Linked DNA regions of Lonchura striata. The protein of the gene in region 1 interacts with the protein of each later gene in a pairwise test. Links are inferred from orthologs where the notes say so. Each region holds a gene or a part of one and is shown on either strand. Other genes may lie near its edges. The genes, in order: FAM168A and UBE2V1.

What was found.
Region 2: the proteins of FAM168A (region 1) and UBE2V1 interact in binary tests that used the Homo sapiens proteins (3 or more experiments, as listed by UniProt). The two-hybrid records come from large-scale screens. The link is inferred for Lonchura striata from reciprocal best matches to the Homo sapiens genes FAM168A and UBE2V1.

Annotation. Positions count from the first base shown.
Region 1 is NC_134604.1:18,427,153-18,434,873, forward strand, and holds the start of FAM168A (protein FAM168A), read right to left. Parts: upstream 3,251-7,721; 5' UTR 3,151-3,250; intron 1-3,150. Other genes in the region: PLEKHB1 (pleckstrin homology domain-containing family B member 1), read left to right, coding at 6,603-6,639, 7,096-7,248.
Region 2 is NC_134619.1:945,508-953,473, reverse strand, and holds the start of UBE2V1 (ubiquitin-conjugating enzyme E2 variant 1), read left to right. Parts: upstream 1-4,828; 5' UTR 4,829-4,899; coding exon 4,900-4,921; intron 4,922-7,966. Other genes in the region: PEDS1 (plasmanylethanolamine desaturase 1), read left to right, coding at 773-894. UniProt on the Homo sapiens protein: Has no ubiquitin ligase activity on its own. The UBE2V1-UBE2N heterodimer catalyzes the synthesis of non-canonical poly-ubiquitin chains that are linked through Lys-63.

The DNA.
Region 1 (7,721 bases):
ATGGATTTCCAGCAGCAAAACTGAGCCCAGCTGATGAGGAAGATCAGGGTACAGACAGGAGGGAGCTAACTGGGACAGGAACAGGGAGAGGAATGCCCCGGCACACGGAGAGGCTTCGGGAATGACAGAGGAAACAGAAAGTACACGGAGCACTTGTGCTGCGGAAAGGGAAACCGGGGGCCTCCGCAGATCCCAGCAGCCCCAAAGGCAGGGCTGAAAGACAAATGAAGCTCCTAACCCGTGCTGAAGGGAAGAGAGGGCTCACAGAGGAAGATATCAAAGTTGCGTTTCCCTCCTGACAGCTGCTTTCCCTCCCAACAACTGCTTTGCAAAGAGCTGGGAACGTGCTCAGGGCTCCTGGCTGGGAGCACGCAGGGCTCCGAGGACCTGAGGAGCAAGGTCTGAACTGCCAAGCACACCTGGACCCAGAGCCAGAGGGAATTCTGCTCACAGCTCTGCCAGCAGGTGACATCCCAGAGGTGAACATCCCACTTCCCTGCGAGGGAGAGCGGAGCCAAGCCCATGCCTTGGAGAACTTCCCAAAGGCAGGCAGTGCCCTGGATCCCATGCACACCTCCCTGCCTGTGCACCTCCCAAGCTGAGCTCTGCCAGGCACAGCACAAAATTCAATTTAGCCCCAATTCAATTATCATTTTAATTATGCCTCCAGCGCAGGTACTGAAGGCCTTTCACAGAAGTGCTGCTCCAAAGCGTTCTCGCTCTCCTCAGAAATGTTTTCAGCACCTCTCTGCCTTGTTCTTCCCCATTACCCCTGTGGTGGGTTAAGGATCATGGGGACCAGGGAAACTTCACTTGATTTAAAAGATTTTAAACCCCCCTGGGTTGTTCACCACTGCAATGCAGGCTCACCATGGAGTTGGACAGGTGAGTATCAACCAAGAGCAGAAAGCACCTCCACAAATGTTCTCCCTAAATGACTGTATTCCGGTTATGCCATGTAAAATTTTCTGCAGTTTAGGTTTCTCATGCCGAGGAATATTTTCTGAACAAACTCCAAACACATTCTGCTTCCAGTCCCTTTGTTCCAGTGGATATAGATCTACCTGTCCAAAGAAAGTGTGTCTTTGCTGACAGCCAGGAATTTTAATCAGCTGAAGAATACACCACAAACCCCCCAGATCTGGACAATAACATCTGGAACACTTATCCCATTTTCCCTTAAAAAAAAGCACAGGATTTGGGAGAGAAAGATTCCTTCTAAAAAAAGGTCAACATTTGCTTTGGTAAATAAAAAGTTCAGATGCATAACAGGGTAAGTTGGTATTTGCAACTTACAGAACAAAAGTTAATCAGATTTAACATAAATTTAATGCAAAATACACAATGCTGATATCAGTCCTTTTAATAACTATGTATATATAACAAGAATAAATATACAGATCATAGTTGTTGTTTGGGGTGTTTTTTCAAATAGACTCAACCATAAGGATCAAGAGAATCTACAAAACAGTTAAAATTCAGAATCAGAAAGAACTGGGAAAAAAAAAGAAAATAAGCATTTGGCCTCTTCATACTAATTTCCTTTTTCTTTACATTGCTCAACATTGCTTCTCAATTTGAGTTCTAATCAACAACCACTTCACAGCTCACATTTTATGAAATAATGCAGTTGATGCAATCAAGTCCAGCAAAATGTTTCCCTAAAGATGTTTCCATCATTCACATTCCTTTAAAAACACACACACACACAAAAAAAGGCTCTGACTTCCTCCATCACTATTTAACAGCAAAAATAAACACACCACTGCATCTTAAATCATATTCAGATTAAAACAGAAATAGAATCTTTCTGGGGTTTCTTTCTGCTTAGCACAACATGTCTTTGTCCAGGAGAGGGGGGAAAAAATACCCTCAACCTGCTCATTTTTCTGCACTTGACAATAATGAGCACCAAATAAATAAAATTCAGCCTATGGAGACACAAATCATAACCCAAAAGCTCATCACCATGTGCAGTGGGGGGCAAAAACGCCTCCCAGACCCAACCCGGTAGAAAACCTCTTTCTGCTGATGAATATTTATTTCATTTTCATACTTCCAGGCTCCCCTGCTTTCTATGAAGGACTGAAACCAAGCTCCTTTTTGACATTATTCACCCACAATATAGCTATGGACTTCGCTGCCCTGAACACCACAATGCCAACAACAGAGCATGTGAGCAGTCCTTATTAAAAAGACATTAAAAAAAAAAAAGGGGGGGGGGGGGGGGAGGAGGGGGTTGGGGATATAATCCACATTTTCATAAAAAAAAAACCCGACCGGAACACGCATTTTATCCGGGCAGAAAAATCTCAACACCGCCTCGCATTTCCCAGCCTGGACGTCCCTGCTTTCATTCCTGTGGATGCTGCGCGCCTATATCCCCCCGCTCCGCGAAGCCTTTAACCATTTTATCCCCATTTCATCCCCATTTCAAAAGCGTTTCGCCCCCCGAAGAGGAGGGCTGCGGGACAGGGCTGCGGCTCAGCCCGGCCCCGGCCGTCGCACGGAGTTGCCGGCAGGTCCGGTCCCCATGCCCGCTGCCGGCCACACGTGCCCCTCGGGACATTTTGGGGGGTTCGCCCATCCCTGGGGGATGCCCCCCAAGCCCGGGCATCCCGTCCCCTGCTCCCACGGATGGGGGTGAGCCTGGGGCGGAGCACAGCCCCTGGAGGGGACTCAGCCCCTGCCAAGGGGGCACAGCAGATTTTGGGGGGCAACAGGCTGGTAAGGGCGGGGGGGTTGGGGGGGCGCACAGCCCGGTGCGGGAACAACAGGCTGCACTGGGGGGATGGACGGGGACACACAGCGGACTCGGGGGACACCAGCCCGGGGGACTACGGGAGGGGGGACCCCCGGCAGAGCCCCCGGGGAGAGCGGGCTCCTCGAGGACACAGCGACAGGCGCGCCGGGAGCAGCGGGCTCCGTGCGCCCGGGGGGACACGGGCTCTGCCGGGCTCCCCCCGCCCCGGGGCTCCGCGCTCCGCTCCCCGCCCGGGGCTGGGGGGATGCTGCCCCGCCGCCCCCTCCCTGTGCGCTCCGGGGCAGCCCCCGGCCGCCCCCCTCCATCACCACAGTGCCCCCACGCCGCCACCCCTTTCCCGCCGCTGTCACCCGGGGGTGTCCCCCTCTCCCTTCCCCTCCCCTTACCTGCGGCTTCTCGGGCGGCGGCGGCCCCTATGCCGGTGCAGCAGCTCTCCCTCTCGTCCTCCTCCTCCTCTTCCCGCTGCTCCCGCAGCCGCCAGCCGGGAATGGGGGGGGGTAGAGGGGGCAGTACCACCAGCGGGACCGTTACAGCCGCCGCTGCGGGGACTACAACTCCCGGCATGCTCCGCGCTCCGCAGCAGCTCTCCGCCGCTGGCCGCCCCGCGCGAGGGATTATGGGTAGCGTAGTCCGTGCTGCAGGCGGGGGAAGGACATAAGGCGACAGGGCCCGGACGGGCGCGGGGCGTGCTGGGAGGTGTAGTACAGGATGGGTAGAGCCGCCGGACATGGCGGGAGTTGTAGTTCAGCGAGGCATGACGGGAGCTGTAGTCCGAGGAGGCTGACGGGCGGCAGAAGGCCGCTCCGGGAATCCCACCGGGCTGTGCCAGGTGGGGCTCCGGGGCGATCCGCGATCTGATCCCGGCTCCGGGAGCCCCTTCCCGGATAACCTGGCGAGCGCAGGGCCGCGGTCCGGGAGGGGAGCGGGGAGCCGCGGGCCCGGCCTGGCGTGCCGCCCCCACAGAGCTCTGCCTGTGGCTCCTCGCGCCCACAGCAGCCTCAGCCTGTCGGGGCAGGGAAGGAGCAATTCGGGAGGAGCTGCAGAGTGCCGTGGGTCTCATCCCACGGGAGGGACGCGAGGGCGCTCCCCCGCCCCAGCCCCCTCACGACAGCGGTTCGGTGGGGATTGGCGCCGGGAGTCGCGGGCCCCGAGCCCTGCAAGTGGAGCCTGCCCTGGGAACGGGGACAGCGGTACCGGGGGTCCGCTCCCTGCCCCGGGACGCGCTGCCCTGGCTGCGGGGCATGACAAACATCCCTCCCGCGGGATTCCAGCGGCACCAACGGGACACGCTCGGCTGCAGGAAAAGGAGCTGCCGAGGGATTTCACCAGGTGCCACCTGTCCCGAGAGTGGCGATGACGGGAACAGCAAGTTCTGTCCCCACGTTCAGCTTTGAACCCCCAGAGCTCCCTGGAATCTGGGGAGACCCCCTGTGGAAGACAGGGATTTCCTGAGACGTGGGAAGAGTGTTGGAAGGCTGTGGCTGGGATGGAGATCCTCACCAGGCATGAGCCACAACAGGCAGAGCTGGAGGAAAAACAAACCAGAGGCATCGAAGTTCATGGATTTTATTAAACAACACCCCACTGCTGTGGAAAACTGCGGGGGGAATCCAGGATCTGGCTCTTCTGAGCGTGTACTCCCACATGGCATCCTCTCCTTTTGCTGGCTGGAAACCCTAGCTAACAAAAAAAAAAAAAAAAAAAAAAAAAGACCAAGCCCCCCCAAATCCCCCACTGGCACCGTTTCCTTCCCAAGAGGAAAACCACAATGGAAAAGTTTTGAGAACTAATTCCAATTAATGTCTGTTTGGAGAGGTAGCCCAATAACCCAGGACAAACCCAAATTTCAGCCCAAATCCTTTCCTAACGGAACATTTTTCCGAACTCATGGCAGGGCAAAGCTGGATTTCCAAATAATTCCCGTGATTTTGGGAATATTCAGCAGCGGCAGGATGTTTTGCAGCCCCATAACCAGCACGGGGGGATGCACAAGGCTGTGAGTGTGGCCTGGCTGAGTGGGTGATTCCCATTTAACTCCTTTGGGATCGTCCAGCAGGCCGCTGGATTAATTTAATTCCTTCTGAAAAATGAATTAAAGCCAATGCTGGAGTGAGGGAGAGGAGGGGAAAGGGCTTCACATTGAAAACCATGCTGGAATAGAATTTTTTAATATATATTAATTGTTGCCATGTGCTCAATAAACATATTTTATTAACGACCCAGCCTCAGCTGTCACCTGACTTGTGTCTTGACTTCCCCAAATAATCCAACCTCATGTCCCAGAGCCCAGGACAGTTCTGATTCCTGCCAGGACAAGCCTTGATTTTGTTCGCTCCATCTGGAAATTTATTTCAGACAAGCACTTCGGTGCTTAAAACTTGGATTTTTCCTGTTTATGCTTTTTGGCACCAGACACCTCCTCAGACCCATTCCCAGCACCAGAGGAAATTCCTGCATGCCCCAGGCATCGCTCCCTGTGCCAAGCTCGGTGTGGAGCAGCAGCTTCCCCCCCTCCAGACCCCCAAATTCGGGGGTCCTGCTCGGGTGAGCCTCTCCAGGGTCACCCACAGTGCTGGATGTGCTCCGTGTCCGGAAGAAAGGCAGGATTTGAGGAGAGAGCGCGGATGGGAGCTGCTGGATAAATCACGGGCACGCCGGCCGCGCAGGCGCCGGGCAGCAGCTTTTTGGGGCTAAAGCTCTGGGAAGCGGGGTTTTCCCGGCGGGCAGCACTCGGGGATGCTGGTGCCGGACTACAGCTCCCGGCGAGCCGCGCGGGCGGGCAGAGCCGGGCGGCGGGAGCGGAGCGCAGCGCATCCCGCAGCGGGCACCGCCGCCTCCGCCCGGTGAGTGAGGGATGCGCGGGGCTTCGGGGAGCCGGGGGCGGCGGGCCGGGGCACGGAGAGTGCCCGGGGGACCGGTACTCAGAGGGGCGGGCTCCCGAGGGGGGCAGAACCGTGCAACGAAAAGTGGGTACGGAGCAGGGAAGACGTCAGGGATGTGGGATGAGGGCACCAGATGTGGGTACCGAGGGACTGTAAGCAGAGTGGGATGAGGGTGGTGGCACAGGGCTGTGAATGCAGAGGGATGGGGGTACCTGGGGGTGCCAGGGGATGGGGGTATCCATGGGCTGGGATTTCCTGGGGATGTGGCAGTACAGGTGATGGTACCAGGGCTGCAAACGCCATGGGGACCTGGATACTCGGGGGTTCAGGCATTCGGTAAGGCAGGCACAGAGGTGCTGGGAGGGTGTTTGTGGCTTGCCGTGCCCCCGGAGCTGGTGGGAGATCCTGGAGGCCATCCCAAGCTGCCGAGTTCCCATCACTGGGAGCTGGGATTCCCAGTGGATACGGGGGCCATGGCCAGGGAACTGCTCCTGCCTGTCCCTGGGGGTTGGCTCTGCTCGGGGACTTGGGGAGCGATGACTTCATGGCCTTATTAAGGACTCATTTCTATCCAGGCAGGGAAAATAAACAAGTGTAGGTGTCGTTCAGCATGGAAAGTTACTGGGGCTGTGGGGACGCACTGCCTGTTTTCATACACAGCCCGGATTTCTCCACTTACCTCCACGGACTGATAATCCCTAAATCCCAATGAGATTAAAGGCAAAAGGAAAGGTGGCCAGAGCGCCTCCTTCGCGACATTTCCCAGATGACAAAATCCCACGTCGGCCTAACCCTGATTAACCCAGGCACTGAGCTCATCTCCCAAAAATACCAGGAGCAGCAAGGGTGAATCCCCATCCCTAGAGCCATGGGTAGAGCCGGGGTGAGGCAGGAGCTGCTGTTTTAACCCCATTATTGTTCCCATCCCAGCAGATCCGGCGAAGCCTGCGGCAGCCATGGCGCTGGTGAAGAGTGGCTGGCTTTGGCGGCAGAGTAAGTGCCATCCTTGAGCTTTCTGAGTTGGGAGCCCTCCAGAAAAGCCCGGAGAGGTTTGCTGGGAAGAGGTGGGGTGTGGGGGACACAAGGAGCCCCAACCTTGACAGGTAATCCACGACAGCAGGGAGATTGTGGCTCAGCCGCTCGCGGATTTACGTCAGCGGAGAGAGGGGCTGCCTGCCATGAAAACACACACAGCTCTGTGTCCGGGGCTGGATCTGCTCCCGTGCGCTCGGCAGGGCAGCACCCAGTGGCCTGATGGCTTTTTTGGCAGCCTTTTCCCGCTTACAGCCACCTGCTCACACTGCCCCGGATGCTTGTGCCAGGCACAGGTGTCCTGTGGGATGCAGCGGCTCACGGGTGGGATCCAAGTGTGGGGGATGAGATTGTGAGCGTGCCGGCTGTGTCCCACTGGGCTCGCTGGGCTCCTGCACCCGCTCCCTGTCCCACCAGGCTCCATCCTGCGCCGCTGGAAGAGGAACTGGTTCATCCTCTACCTGGATGGCAGCCTGGTTTACTACCACGACGAGACACAGCAGGACATGGACGGCCGGATCCACATCAAGTACAGCTGTCGGGACGTGCGGATCGGCCGTGAATGCAAAGGTGAACCGAACCCCTCGCTCCCGAGCCCTGCATTCCCAACCCCATCCCACGTGTGGCTGCATTCCTCTCAAACGAGGCTCCACCTGTGCACATCCAGCAGACCCCCAAATCAGCCCATTAATAACCCCAGGCTGCCTCGTTCACCCCTCCTCGCTCCCAGCCAGGAGATGCTGGATGGTCTCTGCTGTTGCTTTTCCTGGGGAAAGGAAGGAGGGAAGGAAGCAAGGAAGGAAGGAAGGAGGAACTCTCCTCCTGGCTTGTGCTTGTAACAAACAGGATCCCACGGCCCTGACTCATCGCTCACGTCTCGCACAAACAAGGGGAACAAAGCAGCAGCTTGGCGGGCCCCGCAGCCCACGGCCGCCACACAAAGTGCCTTTCTTGGGCTGGGAGTGGCCATGGGAGCACAAACCCACTGCTTTGTGCTCACCACAGGGTCCTGCCAAGCTTCAGGATGGGGGAAGACACACGAG
Region 2 (7,966 bases), on another chromosome or scaffold:
AACTGTGTGACACCTGTGAGACACCTGCAGGGCCCTGCCAGGACACTGTGTGACACCTGCAGGGCCAGGCAGCTCACTGTGCTCTCGCAGGCTCCTGGCAGAACTGCATAGACAGTGTGGGGGAAGGTTTGTGATCAGCTGCAGGAACTCGGAGCCTCAGGGAGCATTCAGTGGTGCTGGGATCTGATTGCCTGGGCTCTCGAGCTCAGGCCACTAATGGGGTTTGTTCACTAAAGCTGCTCAAAAAGAGCAGAATGTCCACAGCTGCTCTGGAATGCTCATTTCTAAAGGCCAAGCTTCTGGATTTTCAGCATCCACTCATTCTGACTCAGAGGTGGACAGGTCTGCAGAAAGCTTTAGCTTCCTTTTATATCCATACAGGTGGGAATGCTCAGTCACCAGTGTTGCACAATCCTAAATAAGTTATCAAGTTAATCAGACAGCTGGAATTAAACCATCCTGGTTCTTCATTCTCTCATTGGCTTTGACAAACGGTTCATGTGGGTTTTGAAACCTCTGCCAAGAAAAAAATCTAATTCTCATTAGCAGAATGTCATGTAGAAACATGGTACAATTAAGAAGCCTGACTTGACAGATGGTAGCAAAAATCTTGCCACCTAAAGAGCTATTTTTAAGTCCTACTATGTGCTGAGAGTTTAAGCCTGACCATTATTAGCAGTATTGGGCCGGTTGCTTCTTTTTCTCATTAAAAAAACGCTGAACTTTGGACGCTATGACAAACTAATCCTCTTTCTCCTTTGCAATCCATTAGGTTGGCTGAATTATCCGTTAGAGAAGATAAGATTTTGGAGATGTTTGGAGAACATCATCCAAGGACTTACTGGGGAGAAGCCAAGAGCAGATGACATGAAATGGGCTCAGAAAATCAAATAACTTCTGCCAGCCTTCTGCAATCCTTAACTTGTTGCCAATGTTGTTTTTAAAAGAAAAAAAAAAATAATAAAGCCATCAGCCAAATTCAAGACCTGCAAAGAAATAACAGACTCTAAAGCACAAACTAAAAAGTGCTAACACAGACTGCAATGAAAAGAACTAATTCTTAAAACAATACTTGAAATGAAGATGATTACTCTCACTGAGCACCTTTTTGTGTAGCCATGTCTGCTTACACCTTAGAGCTTGCTTCGTCGCTGTATCCGTGAGGTACCGGGCACGCCGGGGGCACGTGGGGCGCAGGAAACGTGTGTTGTATCAACATTCCCAAACTTCCCGGACAGCCTGCGGCCCAGGACCTGCGGGGAGAGCGCTGGCAGGGTCGGCACTCGGTGTTGGAGTGCGGGGCACTGCGTGAGAGCGGGGGGAGCAATGGAAGCCTGGAAATCATGACTGCTCAATGCACGGTGATTGATCCACCTACAGCTCTGTCTGCACGATCATGTTCAGCCTGATTGATGCCATGTGGAACAGACCTCGAGAATCCCGCTCCTCCAGGGGCCACCAATCCTCAAGTGTCTTCAGTTTCCCTTAAAACAAAATCGTTCTACTCTCCTCGTGGAATTGAGTTTCTGCATAAGCCTTCAACTTCAGGGGCCTCTGAGGGGAGGGAGGGCACCCTACAGCACATGTGTCTGTTCGTGTGGAGTGCTCACTGCTGAGTCTTCTATCAAGTGTTTCCTACCCTGACAATAAATGTTTGAAATAGTTCTAGCATTGGGCACACTGCAAATAGCTGTATTCAAGAGCTCAAGGTATCAAACTCGTAATGTTAGAAGGGAAATGTCAATGACCGGTGTTTTGTTCTTTTTATTTTTTTAAGGTGCTTGCTTGTTTCTGTAAATAATATAAAGCCTTAATCTCTTCTGGTGTAATGGAATAATATTTTAATGTGATGTTTGAATGTATATAATATATTTATAACAAAGCAGTTGGATAATACTAATCACGTTCAAGTCTTGTTGCTGTTTTTCATTGCTGCACTGGCAGCACTTAGTGCGAGAGCTGGATCGGTGGTTGCACAACACCTCGTGCAGTCCCACCTGAGACACCTGGCAGCCTGTCACAGCTTGTTTGGGTTGGAGTGATCATGTGCCAGCGTTTTAGGAGCCTGGCATTATGTTATACCAGACTTCTACACCTTTGGAGAAGTGTAAGTAATTCATTCTGCTCTGGATGCAGAGGAGTAACCCCAACTGAGCTGGGGTGAGGAAGTTTCTCTAAAAACATCCAACAAGCACTTTACTAAGTTAATGTGACTTGGATCTTGTTCAGTTCCTGCCTGCCTGAGAGCTTAGTGCTGATCAGATGTAAGGAATGTTCCCTCCTCTAGCTGTAAGTTGTGTTCCATTCAAGCTGCCTCTTCCTGAAGAGCAGGGTAGGATGGTTTGGAGTCATAGGTTTAGACTGAGCTTGATCTGCACTCCTGCAGATATGGCGGATGGATTCTGAATGAGTTGGGACGTGGCAACTCTCCTTCAGTGGGAGTGCTGAATGCAGATGCTTCCGAGCTGGGTTCTGCAGATTAAAATCACTGTTGGTACCTTGCTCACCAAATATTTCATCTAAGTGCTCAGACCCTTGGAGAACTTTATGCCATGACATGAAACTTTCCTGTTCCCATTGCCGCAGTCACTAGCAGGTCTCTGTGCAGCTTTGACATTAAAGAATTCTTCCACTTCAGCAGGAGTCCCAAAATGCCTTCAGCTGATTCTGGAGAGCTCTGGACAGAGCTGGGTGGATGTTCAGGGCTCCTGTGTAAATCAGCCTGAAGCACTGGATCCTCTGAGAGCTCTTTTCACTGCAGCTTTAAATGCCGAGTGAGCAGCAGTGGTGCAGTGGATGAACAAATGGATTTGGGACACAGGAATCACCAGAATTTGGACTTCCAAAGTGTTGTTTAAGGCATTGCTGCTGCCCAAACCTCTCTTGGCCACTGTTGCCTTACTGGAAACAAACCTGAGCTACTCATACTGGTGGCTGCTGGGACGATTTATCTGTTAATCTTGCTTAATTATGAGAAACTGGGACAGAGTTAATCTCCAGATGCATTTTCCACGTGGCTGCTGTGCTGGGCTCCTGGGGCAGCCCTGGCTCTGTGACCCCACACCCGACGTGGCTGCGGCTCCAAGGTCCCTGTTCTACCCCTCCAAAGACCTGGATGCTCCCACAAAATCAGTATGGCAATTCTGGAGCAAAAGGCTGCGTGGATCCTTTTAACAGCTGTAAATCTGGCTTAAGAAAATTTGTCTTAAGTTGATTAGGAACAGATTAGAGCTGAAGCAGAATAAGGCACTCCTGTTAAACTCGTAAGGAATAGATGGCCTGCATTTCAGTCCAATGCTTTTAAATGCTTTTAAAAGCTCTGATTTCAGTCTCACCTCCACGGAGAACTCTGCTCAGGCTCCTGCTCTCTGGACCTTCAGAAGGACTCTCAGGCCTCCAGCTTTTGCCAGGGCTGCAGCTGCCTTCCATGAGTGGATCTTGTGGTCAGAAGGGCCTTGGAGGAGCAGCTGTGACCGCTTACGTGCATCCCAGGAGCAGGAGTGATCCCTGTGTCCATCCCAGGAGTGATCCCTGTGTGTATCCCAGGAGCAGAGGTGACCCCTTACGTGCATCCCAGGAGCAGGGGTGATCCCTGTGTGCATCCCAGGAGTGATCCCTGTTTGCATCCCAGGAGCAGGAGTGATCCCTGCACACATCCCAGGGATGATCCCTGTGTGCATCCCAGGGGCAGGGGTGCTCTGCACTGCAGAACCCCCCACTCAGAGCTGTCTGGGGTCACGGCTGCACAGGGCAGTGTTGCGCTGTAGTCAACTGCAGAAAATTACTGCAGAGTGCCTCAAAATCCCACTTGGAGGTTTTGCTCAGGTGTGGTCGCTGCGATCCTCCCGGGCCAGGAGTTAGCAGGGTACAAGGTGGAGGGGAGGGAAAGGAGTCACCAGCCTGCACCCCAAAGCTGTTGGGGAGCCGTGCTGCTGGGGCAGGTGGGCTCTGCCCGCCGAGCTGGGCTCTCATGCACCTAGCTGCTTCTGCTGCTGCCTTTCTTCTTTCCTTCCTGCTGCCTTTTGCTCTTTCCTTCCTCTTTCCTTCGTGCTGCCTTTCCTCTTTCCTTCCTGCTGCCTTTCCTCTTTCCTCTTTCCTTCGTGCTGCCTTTCCTCTTTCCTTCCTGCTGCCTTTTGCTCTTTCCTTCCTCTTTCCTTCCTCTTTCCTTCCTGCTGCCTTTTGGTCTTTCCTCTTTCCTTCCTGCTGCTTTTCCTCTTTCCTTCCTGCTGCCTTTCCTCTTTCCTCTTTCCTTCGTGCTGCCTTTCCCTGCTGCCTTGTCCTGCCTCTTCCTGTGCCTTTTTCCGTCCTTCCTGCTGCCTCGGGCCGGCCCGTGCTGAGCGCGGCTACAGAGAAATCTGACTGCGTGAATAAAAGGCGGCCAAAATGTGACCGGGTGAATAAATCCCAGCAGTGAGACCAGCAGTGCTGGTTTAAAGCAGCTCCGGGAGCAGCTGAAGCTGCCGTGGGTCTCCGAGACGTTTCGCTTCGTGACAATTGTGGCTGCTTTCGGAGGATGCTTTGGGCTCCGCTTTATGAGCGTGTGTTGCAGAGAGAAGTGAAGCAGAACTCATTTCCTTCCCATTTCTTTAAGCTTATTTCCGTATAATGCAGGAAGGGAGAGGGCTGGAAGAAGCTTGGCCGGAGTGTCAGGGGCGTCCCGTGCCCGCCACGGTGTCCCGGAGTCCCGGGGCCGGTGTCCGGGGCCGCACCGAGCGGCGGCGCCGCCCGCCCGCGCGGCGGAGCCGCGGGAGCGCCGCGCGTGAACCACAGAGCTCCCCGCGCGCGCCCGCCCCGCCCCGCCGCCAGCTCCGCTTAGCGCGCCCGCCCGCCCGCGCCTGTCCGCCGTTCCCGCGTTGCGGTGACGTCAGGCGGGGGCGGGGCCGGCGGCGGCGGCGCAAGATGGCGGCGACCACGGGCGCGGGTGAGCGGGGCCGGGCCGGGCCGGGCGGCGGGGCCGCGCCTCGCCCCGGGGCTCCGCGGGGCCGCGCCTCGCCCCGGGGCTCCGCGGGGCCGCGCCGGGGACGGCGGGGCGGAGGGGCGGCCGCGGCCGGGGGAGGGGCGGCGGCGCGGCCCGAGCGGGGCCCGGCGGGGCGGGGGTGGAGCCGGAGCCGGCCCCGGGTCGGGCCGCGGGTCCGGCGGGCCCGGCCGCGCCGGCCGGGGTGGCGAGGCCCGGCGGGAGCGGGGCCGGGCGGGCCGCCGCCCCCGGCGGTGGTTCCGGAGGGGACCGGGCGCTGTAAAAGCCGTTCTGGCCCGTGGCCTCTCTCTGTGTGCTCCGAGAAGGCAGTGCGTTTTTTATTCCTTTCAAACCTGCTCCACTCCGCACACCAGCTCTAAGGACTTGCACACGCTCTCCGTCCCGATCATTACATATGAAACAAAAGTACTGCAGCTCGATTTGGACTGAGGTTTTTTTCCTGTTGGCATCCTCTAATGAACTTCAACAGATCGAGTAAATCAGAGTCACTTCTGTTGAGGCAGTTTTATTTTCCTGTTTTCCCAGCCCACAGAGGGTTTCACATGTGCCCCTGTAGTGCTTGTTTCCACATTGCACTCTCCAAAGTTTGACTGTGCTCACCAGACGTATTTTGGAGTTCTTTTTGTACAGATAGTTCTCTGTCAGTCACCACTCAGATTTTAAGGATTACCGTCATACCACAATGCACATAATTCACAATAATCAAGTTAATAAAAGATTGGTTAAGTGCAGTGGTTGCTGTTATGAGAATTGTGCTACAGGTCTGTGTTTGAAGGTGTTGAGTCGAGACCCAGAAGCTGTAGCTGGGAGGAAGGGACCCTCCTTCCCCTGTTAGGTCACGTTCTCCTGCCTGCTCTGCCTTCTCAGTGATCCTTTCAGGCTGCTGACTTTGCACTTTGTGTCTGGCTGGCAGAACAAGGCCAATACTTTCCTTTTCAAGGCAGCGCAGCCCTGAGAGAGAATTGTTGGGTGTTCATGGGCGGGCAGGTGTGGGAAGGGGCTGGGCTGCAGTGCCAGGGACAGGCTGTGGTTACCTGGCAGCCGCTGGCCACGCTGTGTCTGCTGCATTGTCCCCTTGTCCCCTGGGTGTGTGGCACTGTCACGGCTCCCTGTGAGCAGGGCCAGTGAGCAGTGTGGGCACACAGCTGCGCCAGGCTGCCGGACAGACCTGCAGTGCTGCAGGAGCACTGCATGGCTGCACCAAGGCCAGGGCTCGGTCTGGGCAGCTCCGGGGCTGGGAGCTGGAGCTGTGGCTCCTGGGCTGCCCTCGGAGCACTCTGCAGTGCTGGGAAGGGCAGAGCTCCTCTGAGCTGCTGGCAAGGGCAGCGGTGCCCGGGGCTGGCAGTGGCACTGCACCGCAGGCCTGCGGGTCCCTGCTGCCCTGCAGGGGAGGCATGGGCTGGAGGTGGCACCTCGCTGTCCCCTGCTGTCCCCTCTCCGGGCTCTTTGGAACGTGCCTCACTGCTGCCTTCACTCACCTGGGAAGCACAGCTTGCTAAAGCTTCTTTCATGGAGCCTTAATGTGTACGTATTTGTCTGTAAAGCACTGGAATATATGTGATATCTTGAGTTCATGGTGGTTTAAGCAATGGAGCCTAAACACATATTGAAGATGCTCATCTGTCTTCAAAAGCAGCTATTGACCCAGAGGAAGAAGTGGTAACGAATGTCCCTGGGACCTAAAAAAGCCATAGGGCTGGACCTGGCAATTAGACAGGTGGATCGATTAGCAGGTAGAAATTATTAACAAGGAAAAAAACCCAACCCTCGGCCTGGAAGGAATGTTAGGATGTGGGGTCCATCTGTGCTACTGAGGGAGGGGAATCCTGTGTTGGTGGTGATGTGGGTTTCCCACCCACCCCATTACTATTTGAATAAAAAGAAAGGGCTGACTTTAATGATTTTAATAAGGCTGTTCATAGGAGACTCCACTGTGTGTGTGTCCATCCTACAGACCGAGGTGTCCTGCAGGAATGCTCAGCTGTCAGAGGTGATCTAGCAGGAATTCAGGGGTTCCTCAGAGGCTCCTGCACTGGCTGGGCTGCAGTTACACGACAGACCTTGCACCACAGTGCTGGCCTGCAGATTTGGGTTTTATAATGAGTGAAACCCAACCATGCTGGCCTGGGGGATTGTGTTTCTCTCACTTTCACCCTGGGAAAGGTTTAACGACCTCACTTAACCCACTTTGCTCTCACAGTTCAGTTTAGTGGCTCTGTTGCAGGGCTGTGAGGCACTGTGTTTGCCAGCAGCCAGGGAGGGCTGAGTGGTAAAAGGGTTTGTCCAGATCTAATTTTTTCCAAGTCTGAGACAGCGTGTGTGGCTGTGACAGTGCTGGTGCTCATGGCTCAATGCTCCTGCCAGAGGAGAGCACGCTTGGGGTTAGTGCAGTGCATTCAAAGGGCCTGTTTCTAACCCTGTAACATCCCTGTAAACTCCACGGGATGCTTGTGAAAAGCACAGGACAGGGCAGTGGGAGAATTGCACAATACAGGTGCACCTGCCTTTTGCAGCCCCAGGCTGGCTCCTTGGAGGGACAGCATCATCCTCATCTCAAAGGAAACGCTGCCAGCACCCAGGGCTCTCTGGGACTGGAAGGGAAAGACTCAAGGGTAGGGGGAGAGTAACTGAAGAGAAAATGCAAGATAAATTCTGGGTTCTTAAATAAGATGGGCTGTAAGAGCATGTGAAATAGGGCCAGAGGAGGTGATTGCAGGGCTTTGTGTACAGTAACAGGATGCAGTAGATTGAATAGAAAGGTAACTAGTTCAACACTCCTATGAGATGATATTGAATTCAGTATTTTCATCTTCAATTATATAAATTACATAATAAGATTGAAAAGCAGCATTCTGACTGTGAACAGGACTAATTAGTATAGTAAATATGTAGACAGGTAAGGATCCTGGCAGGTGTAACACTGACAGATTTGGTGAGGGTGTGAAAGTTGGGATTTTCAGGCTGTGAGGGTGCTGTTCAACTCCTGCAAGT